2 linked regions of the Caenorhabditis elegans genome follow. The protein of the gene in region 1 purifies or fractionates together with the protein of each later gene. This does not show direct contact. Each region holds a gene or a part of one and is shown on either strand. Other genes may lie near its edges.

Region 1 (3,925 bases):
CGGAAGGCAGGCGGAGGTCGCCTTAAGGCCAGGCAGGCGTCTTCACGCCTACATGGAAGCCCAGGAAAATACAAAAAAGTCTCCAACCTCTCCGACACGGAAAAGCTGAATATAGGTGTTTTTTCAAAATTTTGAACCGCCATAAAAGCATTTAATCCTTTTTTTTTTTGAAAAGTTTCATTCTGATTTTCCAGAAATAAGTTTCTAGAATTTCAAAGGGCCTAAGCTCAAGCCTAAGTCTAAGCCTAAGTCTCACGATAGTTTTAGGGTCTCAAATTTAAATAAAAACCTGTATCTAAAAAATCAAAACTGTTCTAAAAAAGCACCCCCTGCTCTACTTTGACAGCCTAAAACTCGGTTCGCTTTGGTTTTATCAAACAATTGCAAACGGACAAAATAAGTGCAAAGTGTTTCCCTATATTTTGGTTATTGCAAATTTTTTGGTAAAACTGAAGACAGCCGAGGTATAAGCCGCCACGTGGTGTCAGGCTGTCCCATTACGGTTTGATCTACAAAAAATGCGGTAATTTTTTTCTCAAAAAATGTGACGTCAGCACGTTCTTAACCATGCAAAATCAATTGAGAACTCTGCCGCATTTTTTGGTAGATCAGCGTAGATCAATCCAAAATGAGACACTCTGGCACCACGTGTGCGGGAAGCTTAAATACTCAAGCTTCAGGGGGTTTTTTAAATTTCAAATCTAAATCCTCTTGACAAGAAAAATAGAATGACCAGAAACCGAAGCGAGAAAAAAGAAAAAAAAGTGGCGACCTCTCTTTCTCTCTTCCTGTCCATTGACTAAAAGGCAAATCGGATCGGAAGGTAATCCAGTCGTAAAATTGGTGGAAGGTTTCCTATACTAAAATTATATCATAGAATACGGAGTGCAGGAGGTCGGGTTTTTTTTTCAAATGAATTGATATAATAAAATTGAAAAAAAAACGCTCAAATTTTGTATCATATATATGGGAATAAAAAGTTGATATTTGTCAAAATCATGGAATTTGCTTTTCCCTTGCTTTTTGCACTCAACTTGTCTCTCCTATTCATTCTCTGTTCCCCGCCCGCCCCGCTCCTCGCCGCCCAATTCGTCAGAGGGGTACGGTAGACAAGTGGGTGGAGCGTGCGTGTTATGTAGTGTCCTCCTTTCTGCTCCTCGGCCTCATCACCTTTCACGGCCCCCCGCCCCTTATTCTCTTTATAGTCTCTTTGGTGTTTTCCAACACAAGGGGGAAAGAGGAAACACCTTTTTAATGCGTTTATAAAACTTTTTTAGTGCTCTCTTAATCTTTATTACTTGTCTCGCATGCATGTTTCAACATTTATGTTATTTATGTGCCCCCCCAGCTTTTATTTTATTACCCTCAAAAGGTTTATGAGGTTTAAAATTATTTTATTGGTGCTTAAGGTTTTGATTGCCGCGTTTGTCGCCGATAAATAATAATTACTGTTATAAGCTTATTTACTAATTAATTAATTTTCCGCGTCAAAATCCTAAATATATCGTAGCTAAAGCTTTATATCTAGTTAGTATGGCCCCCCATCAATCGACTTTGTCGTCTTATATTTCAGCGGTTTCATAAGATTTTTGATACCTTCAAAAACCAGAGCATAACTATAGATTTGAAAAAGATATTGTCGTTCGAGTTTTTGACATATGATCAAAAAGAACCGAGATATAAGCGTTCAAAGTCGAGTGAGGGGGGCCGTACTAATAGGAAATATACGGTAAATGACTACTGTAGCTCTTACAAGCCGTGCTAAATTCATTTCAAAAATCGAGCCCGTAAATCGACACAAGTGCTACAGTAGTGTTCAAATATAAGCTTTTTAAATTCTCGTTTTTCTTTTCCTTACTTTTTCAAGCTCAATCTCGCAAAGTGCTCAACTTTCAGGTTCAAAAACAGATCTCCAAACCCAAATAACTCCCCAAGCTGCTCATATATGGAATGATTTCGGTGATGCAACAAATGATTAATAACGACTCTCCAGAAGACTCTAAAGAATCTATCACCTCTGTCCAACAAACTCCATTCTTCTGGCCAAGTGCTGCTGCTGCCATACCGTCGATACAAGGAGAAAGCCGTTCGGAAAGAGAATCTGAAACTGGGTCGAGTCCACAGCTAGCGCCGTCTAGGTTAGTGTGAAGTTGATTTGGCAAATGACATCTATCATTTTCAGCACAGGAATGGTTATGCCTGGAACAGCAGGGATGTATGGGTTCGGACCAAGTCGAATGCCAACTGCCAACGAGTTTGGAATGATGATGAACCCGGTCTACACGGATTTCTATCAAAATCCGCTGGCCTCAACTGGTTGGTACTCATACGGACAACCGTATCAATTCACAGCTAACTACTCCATTCCAAGTCTCGATGGAAATTTAAGTGGTTAGTTCCAACATCTCACTTCTATTATGTCATTGTGCTCTTCCATCTGCCCGCCCACCTCCGCATTCCTCGCTATCACTAGCTTTGATCTTACCGCCGCGAGTTGCAAGGGTAGGAGAACACGGTTTTCTGCTCCGTAACTCGGAACTTTCTAAAAGATCATAAGTCAATTCGCAGCCTATTTGGATCTCATTCCTTTCCTTTTCCGCATAACAATCATAAAATTATTAATTACCGTTGAGACCTCCCCCACCCATAAATTTCGCCTCGCCCTTGCCCAATTAGTAATCGATATCAAATCACACACGCGCCTTCAATTCCTACCGTACCACTTTATCTTCCGATCATCTCTTTTTTTGTTCGTCATTCTTCCTTATATAGAATCTTCTTCATTTTTTTGCCCCCATACAGTAATCGGAGAGTGCACTCTCCTCGCGGCGCCAGCGGCGACCCTTTCAAGTTGTATATGTGTGTGTGTGTGTATCGACGACGTGTATAAACACGCACTGGCGACACTCTTTTTTTTTTGGAGAAAAGGCAAAAAAGGAGAGGAGAAGACTATATCGATAACAGACACTTTACATCAGTTTTATGGTACGGTAGAGAAGGGGCAAAGTGTCAGAAGCTGTGGTTCTAATTATACCAATATCGATTTTTTGTAAGGTATGCCGTATTTTAATGTCTTATGTAAAACGTAGCTTTTAGGATTTAGGTTTTTTTCCTGAACTCATTTAAGTTTATATATTAGCTATTTTCGCTTTTACGGTGATTTGCTTGAATTGCTCAAACAAGTATAGGTAACTCGAATATGATAACTGCTAGCAAAAAATTTCCAACTAACAAAATGTTGCTGTTGATTTTTTCCACATCCTTGATATTGCCATAATTACATAACTTTGTTTACAGCAACTGACATCCGGCGGGACTGTTTTTTCTTTAACTAGAATAGAATTACTAAGTACCCCATGACTTTTGAACTAGGTGTGTATAGCAGTTTATACTACCGTATATTTCCTATTAGTATGACCCCCCCCCCTATCAATTGACTTTGTCGGCTTATATTTCAGCGGTTTCAGAAGATTTTTGGTACCTTTAAAAACCAGAGCATAACAATAGATTTGAAAAAGATTTTGTCGTTTGAATTTTTGAAATATGATCAATCAAAGAGAACCGAGATATAAACGGTCAAAGTCGAGTGAGGGGGGCGCCATACTAAAAGGGAATATACGGTGCACTTTCAGATTTTTTTTAATGCTGGAAGTTGTGAATCACCATTCTCAAATAAAAAAGATCAAAAACCAGTGTAATAGAATCTCAAATCTCAAACCTCCCAGCAACAAATCAACAGTCTATAAAATAACTCAACTTGGCGCCTTATGGTACTTTTCGGGGGGGCGCTATACATGTCCCTATCACTCATTCACAAATTGCCTTTTCGCCCAAAATATTTCGTTTTTCTCCCCGTCTCTCTCGCTTGCTGTGTGTTATCTCCATTTTCGATTTTACGACTCCGTGTGGCTGCTTGGCTTCGTCC
Region 2 (3,925 bases), 140 kb from region 1:
AAATCAGGGAAATTTGTTCGAATTTTTTCACATAGATATTCGGAATCAGGGGAAAATTTGGAGTCATTCAAGAGCATTTTAACAGTTTTTTCACCAATTTTTCAATTAAATTTTCGATTTTTCAATAAAAAATTGAATTTTTCAGGGAATGTACTTCGTTTCGAGCGTCCTATTAATGCGTATGAACGTGCCCGAGGAGTATCGAACGATTCTGACGAGAATTCTCGGCGATTTGAAATTCAACTTCTACCATCGCTGGTTCGACGTGATTTTCCTAATATCCGCCGTCTCTTCTATTGTTTTCTTGACACTTATTCACAAATCCGGTTCTTCAATGTTTAGGGCATAATTATTTGTTTTTGTGGTTTTGTTGCTGGTATTTAAATTATTTTAAACTTCGGGTCGCATAGAATTTGAAATTCATTTGATAAAAAAACATTTTAAAATTGAATTGCGTTGAAATTTGGTAAAACTCGTAAAAGGAATGAAGTAAATACACAAGATATATATAAACACGAGGTAGCACGCTCCCCTCGAAGCCGAATAATTATTCGAGCGCGCTTGCTACGCTTCGCGTTTCAGCGTCGGCTGAGTTTTGCTTTTCCACTGAAAATAGCAGATTTATCGAATTTTTAGCTTAAAATTTTTTTTCGGCTTTTTACGAACCAACCTTTTGTTAAACGGTGAAAATCAAATTTAAAATGACTAAAATGAACTTTTTTCGTCCACTGGTTGTGAAATGGTTTGAATTTGAAGACATCAGCGGGATTTTTCGTATTTTCTGAATATTTTTCGATTAGAATTCGGTTTTAAACTATTTTTGACTCTAACGTTAGGTTACAAGTGCATTAAAACCGATTTTTAATTGAAAAATATTTAGAAAATAAGAAAAATCCCGTTGATGTCGTCAAATTCAAACCATTTTACAGCCAGTGAACGAAAAAAGTTCATTTTAGTCATTTTAAATTCGATTTTCACTGTTTAACAAAAGGTTGGTTCGTAAAAAGCCGAAAAAAAATTTTAAGCTAAAAATTCGATAAATCTGCTATTTTCAATGAAAAGGCAAAACACCGCGGGCACAGAAACGCGAATCGTAGCAAGCGCGCTCTAATAATTATTCGGCTTTGAGGAGAGCGTGGATAGTAATTTAAAGTTGCGCGGTGCCAATCTCCTCATCCGTCTGTTGCTCCTCGTCAATGTCGGCGAGCACTTCGAGAAGAATCTCCGTGTCATCGTCGATTTTTCGCATTTTTTCGTCGAGATCTCCGAGTTCGGCGACGAGACGCTGATTTCTGTCCATTTCATCGTCCAGATCCATTTGCAGACGGTCAGCCATCACGCGAAGATAGTTTACAGTTGGTTTTTCAGATGTTAGATCGGCTTCTGTGATTTTTGGTTGAACGTGTGGGACGTTGATGATCGTTTGCGTGGACACTGTGCCGTACTGCAATTTTTTTGATTTTTTTAAAATAAAATTTCAAAGTTTTAATAAATATCTATTATACCAGCTGCTTTCTCGTGTTCTGATGAATTAGCGATAATATACAAAGCATTGTAGATATATTTATGCCGATAAATCTTTTTAATCATCATTTCATACCTCAAACATCTGCGTCTCCACGTTTTTTGCCTCTTGATCATCATCACAGAACACGTCGAATGGAGATAAAACCGGTGTGATTGTGGTGGCAGAAGCCAGCGGGGACGGTGTGATTGGCTGATATTTCTTGAGTTGGGCGGTGAGCTTCAGCGGTTCTGGAATTTGCTTGGTGCCGGTGGCCTTCTCGGAGCCAAATGGACTGTTGCGTGCCGAGTTGTTGAGCTGTTGAAGGCCGATTCTGCTCATCTGAAATTTTTTTTGTTGAAAATTACACAAAAATAAGCAGAAAAAATTGAAATTGCGGCGAAAAATGGTGAAAATTTGAGTTCAAAATTCAAAAAAATAGATTTACGCGGGCCCCTAGGCCCGTAGGGTCTCGCCACGAAGCACGAGAAATTAAATTTCGAACCCTGCGCCTTTAAATTTACCGTACCCCAAAAATCGATTTTTCGGTGCAATTTGGAGAAATTAAATGAAAAAATACAAAAAAAAGAAGAAATAACCAGCTCTGATGATAAAAACAGAGAAATTAAATGAAAAAAAGACATCGACAAGGAGCAAAAATGCATTTTATACAGAAAAATAAGTATTTTTATAGCAAAATTAGAAGAATCCGGATTAATCCGAATTATTTACAGGTGCTCGTGTCGGGTTCTTCTTCGGAATCGCCGTTTTCACTTGATTTTTTCAATTTTTCGTTTCCCAAATCGAAGAGTCGCGTGTATTCAGTCTGTTTCGCGTCGAGCATCTCCGATTTTCGACTTTTCTCCACTTCCATCTGCAAAATCAATCGATAACTGTATATTAATATATCGCGTTGGAAAAAAATAAAACCTTCTCATTCAACGCTTTAATTCGATCCACTTCATTCTGTCGATTTGCAACAATTGACTCCCAATACGACATTTCTGGATTTTCCGTGTTTTTTCGATATTTTGTAATCGATTCCTCTGCTGTCTGTGTTGTCATATTTTCTACAGCAATCTAAAATAAATATTTTTCAATTTTTTTTTTTTTTTTGAAAAAAACTTACCTCTTCAGTCTGACATCCGACTTCTGGGGATAAATTGTTGGTTGTTGGCTCCCCGAGCACTACAAAATCACTCATCTCGAGAAAAATCGATAAAAACTGGCTAGAAATTGGTGAAAATGGTGTTGAGAGACAGGTGTTAGATTCGAAACACCCGCCATTGGTGAAGTGCGGTGGAGCGCGAGTGCGCCGCGTGACGTCACGGCTCCGTTGAAATGCAATTACATGCAATATTATAGAGATTTTCGAATAATATAAGAAATTATTGTTAGTTTCTGAATGAAATCTGACCAATAAATGATTAATTACAACATTTTTACAATATATCGTATATTTTGTATTTTAAATTGCTCTTTAAAAAATCGATCGATACACCATAACTTTATTTTACTAGAATAGTATATAAAATTCACTTTTTTTCCATTTTAATGCCAACTTCCTCCCCCAACCAACCCCAAAATCGTTAAAAAAATCGTATTTTTCATTCACAAATGTAGTTAATTTTAAGATTTACAGAACTAATATTCTATGAGCGGAACAGGATTGTTCAAAATGGTGTTGCAACACCAATTTGACGGCCTACTCGAAGTGATGCCTGGTTTGTAATTTTTTTTTCTTAAGAAATTTGAAAAATATCTCGATTTTCCAAAAATTTTCTCTTTTTTACACAAAATTTGTCGAAAAAGATTGAAAGTAATACAATTTCGTGATTTTTGCGCCAAAACTACGGTGCCCGGTCTCGACACGACAATTTTTAGTTAAATTGAACAAGGTGTGCGCCTTTAAGGAGTACTGTAGTTTTAAACTTTCGTTGCTGCGGGATTTTCGATTTTTTTCAATTTCAAGTAAATTTAAATTAAAAATTTTTTATTTAAACAAACTTTAAAAAAAATCGGATTTCTGGCTTCCCTCCATAAATTGAAATGGAAGAGTTTTTTGCCGAACTAGGCCAGGCCATATCTGGGGTAGATTTACGGCGCGTTGCGTGTCGCATCGCGGCTCGATTATAGTCCGTGAGGAGTACACGACACTTTTCCACGCGAAAAATTCAATGAGGAAGGCCTGAACCCCGTATTAAATTACAGTAACCTTTAAAGGCGCATACCTTTTCCATAAAACAAAAATTTGTCGTGGCGAGACCTGGTACAGTAATTTTTGCGCAAAAAAATCCCCAAAATTCCAGAAAATCCCCGCAAAAAACTTCGATTCACTTCTCGGCATATCGCTGCTGTCAATCGATATCTAGATGACAAATATTTTGATCCAAAGGAAGAAAAATGGTCAAATCTTCATCC

The links.
Region 2: the proteins of nob-1 (region 1) and gmn-1 purify together in Caenorhabditis elegans (affinity purification with western blotting, with the first as the bait; one study listed by BioGRID). This does not show direct contact.

The regions. Positions count from the first base shown.
Region 1 is NC_003281.10:12,082,288-12,086,212, reverse strand, and holds the start of nob-1 (Homeobox protein nob-1), read left to right. Parts: upstream 1-1,896; 5' UTR 1,897-1,950; coding exon 1,951-2,138; intron 2,139-2,182; coding exon 2,183-2,391; intron 2,392-3,925. UniProt on the Caenorhabditis elegans protein: Transcription factor, involved in posterior embryonic patterning, morphogenetic movements of the posterior hypodermis, and cell fate specification. Binds to the 5'-TAGT-3' motif in regulatory elements of genes, including Meis protein psa-3 and microRNA mir-57.
Region 2 is NC_003281.10:12,223,486-12,227,410, forward strand, and holds gmn-1 (Geminin homolog), read right to left. Parts: upstream 1,847-3,925; coding exon 1,601-1,846; intron 1,445-1,600; coding exon 1,148-1,444; 3' UTR 403-1,147; downstream 1-402. Other genes in the region: gphr-1 (Golgi pH regulator), read left to right, coding at 146-349; Y75B8A.18 (Clathrin light chain), read right to left, coding at 2,229-2,378, 2,435-2,584, 2,634-2,708; Y75B8A.19 (RING-type E3 ubiquitin transferase), read left to right, coding at 3,183-3,228, 3,814-3,925. UniProt on the Caenorhabditis elegans protein: Inhibits DNA replication by binding to the DNA replication licensing factor cdt-1. Its interaction with cdt-1 prevents the cdt-1 loading of the mini-chromosome maintenance (MCM) complex onto DNA and therefore DNA replication licencing.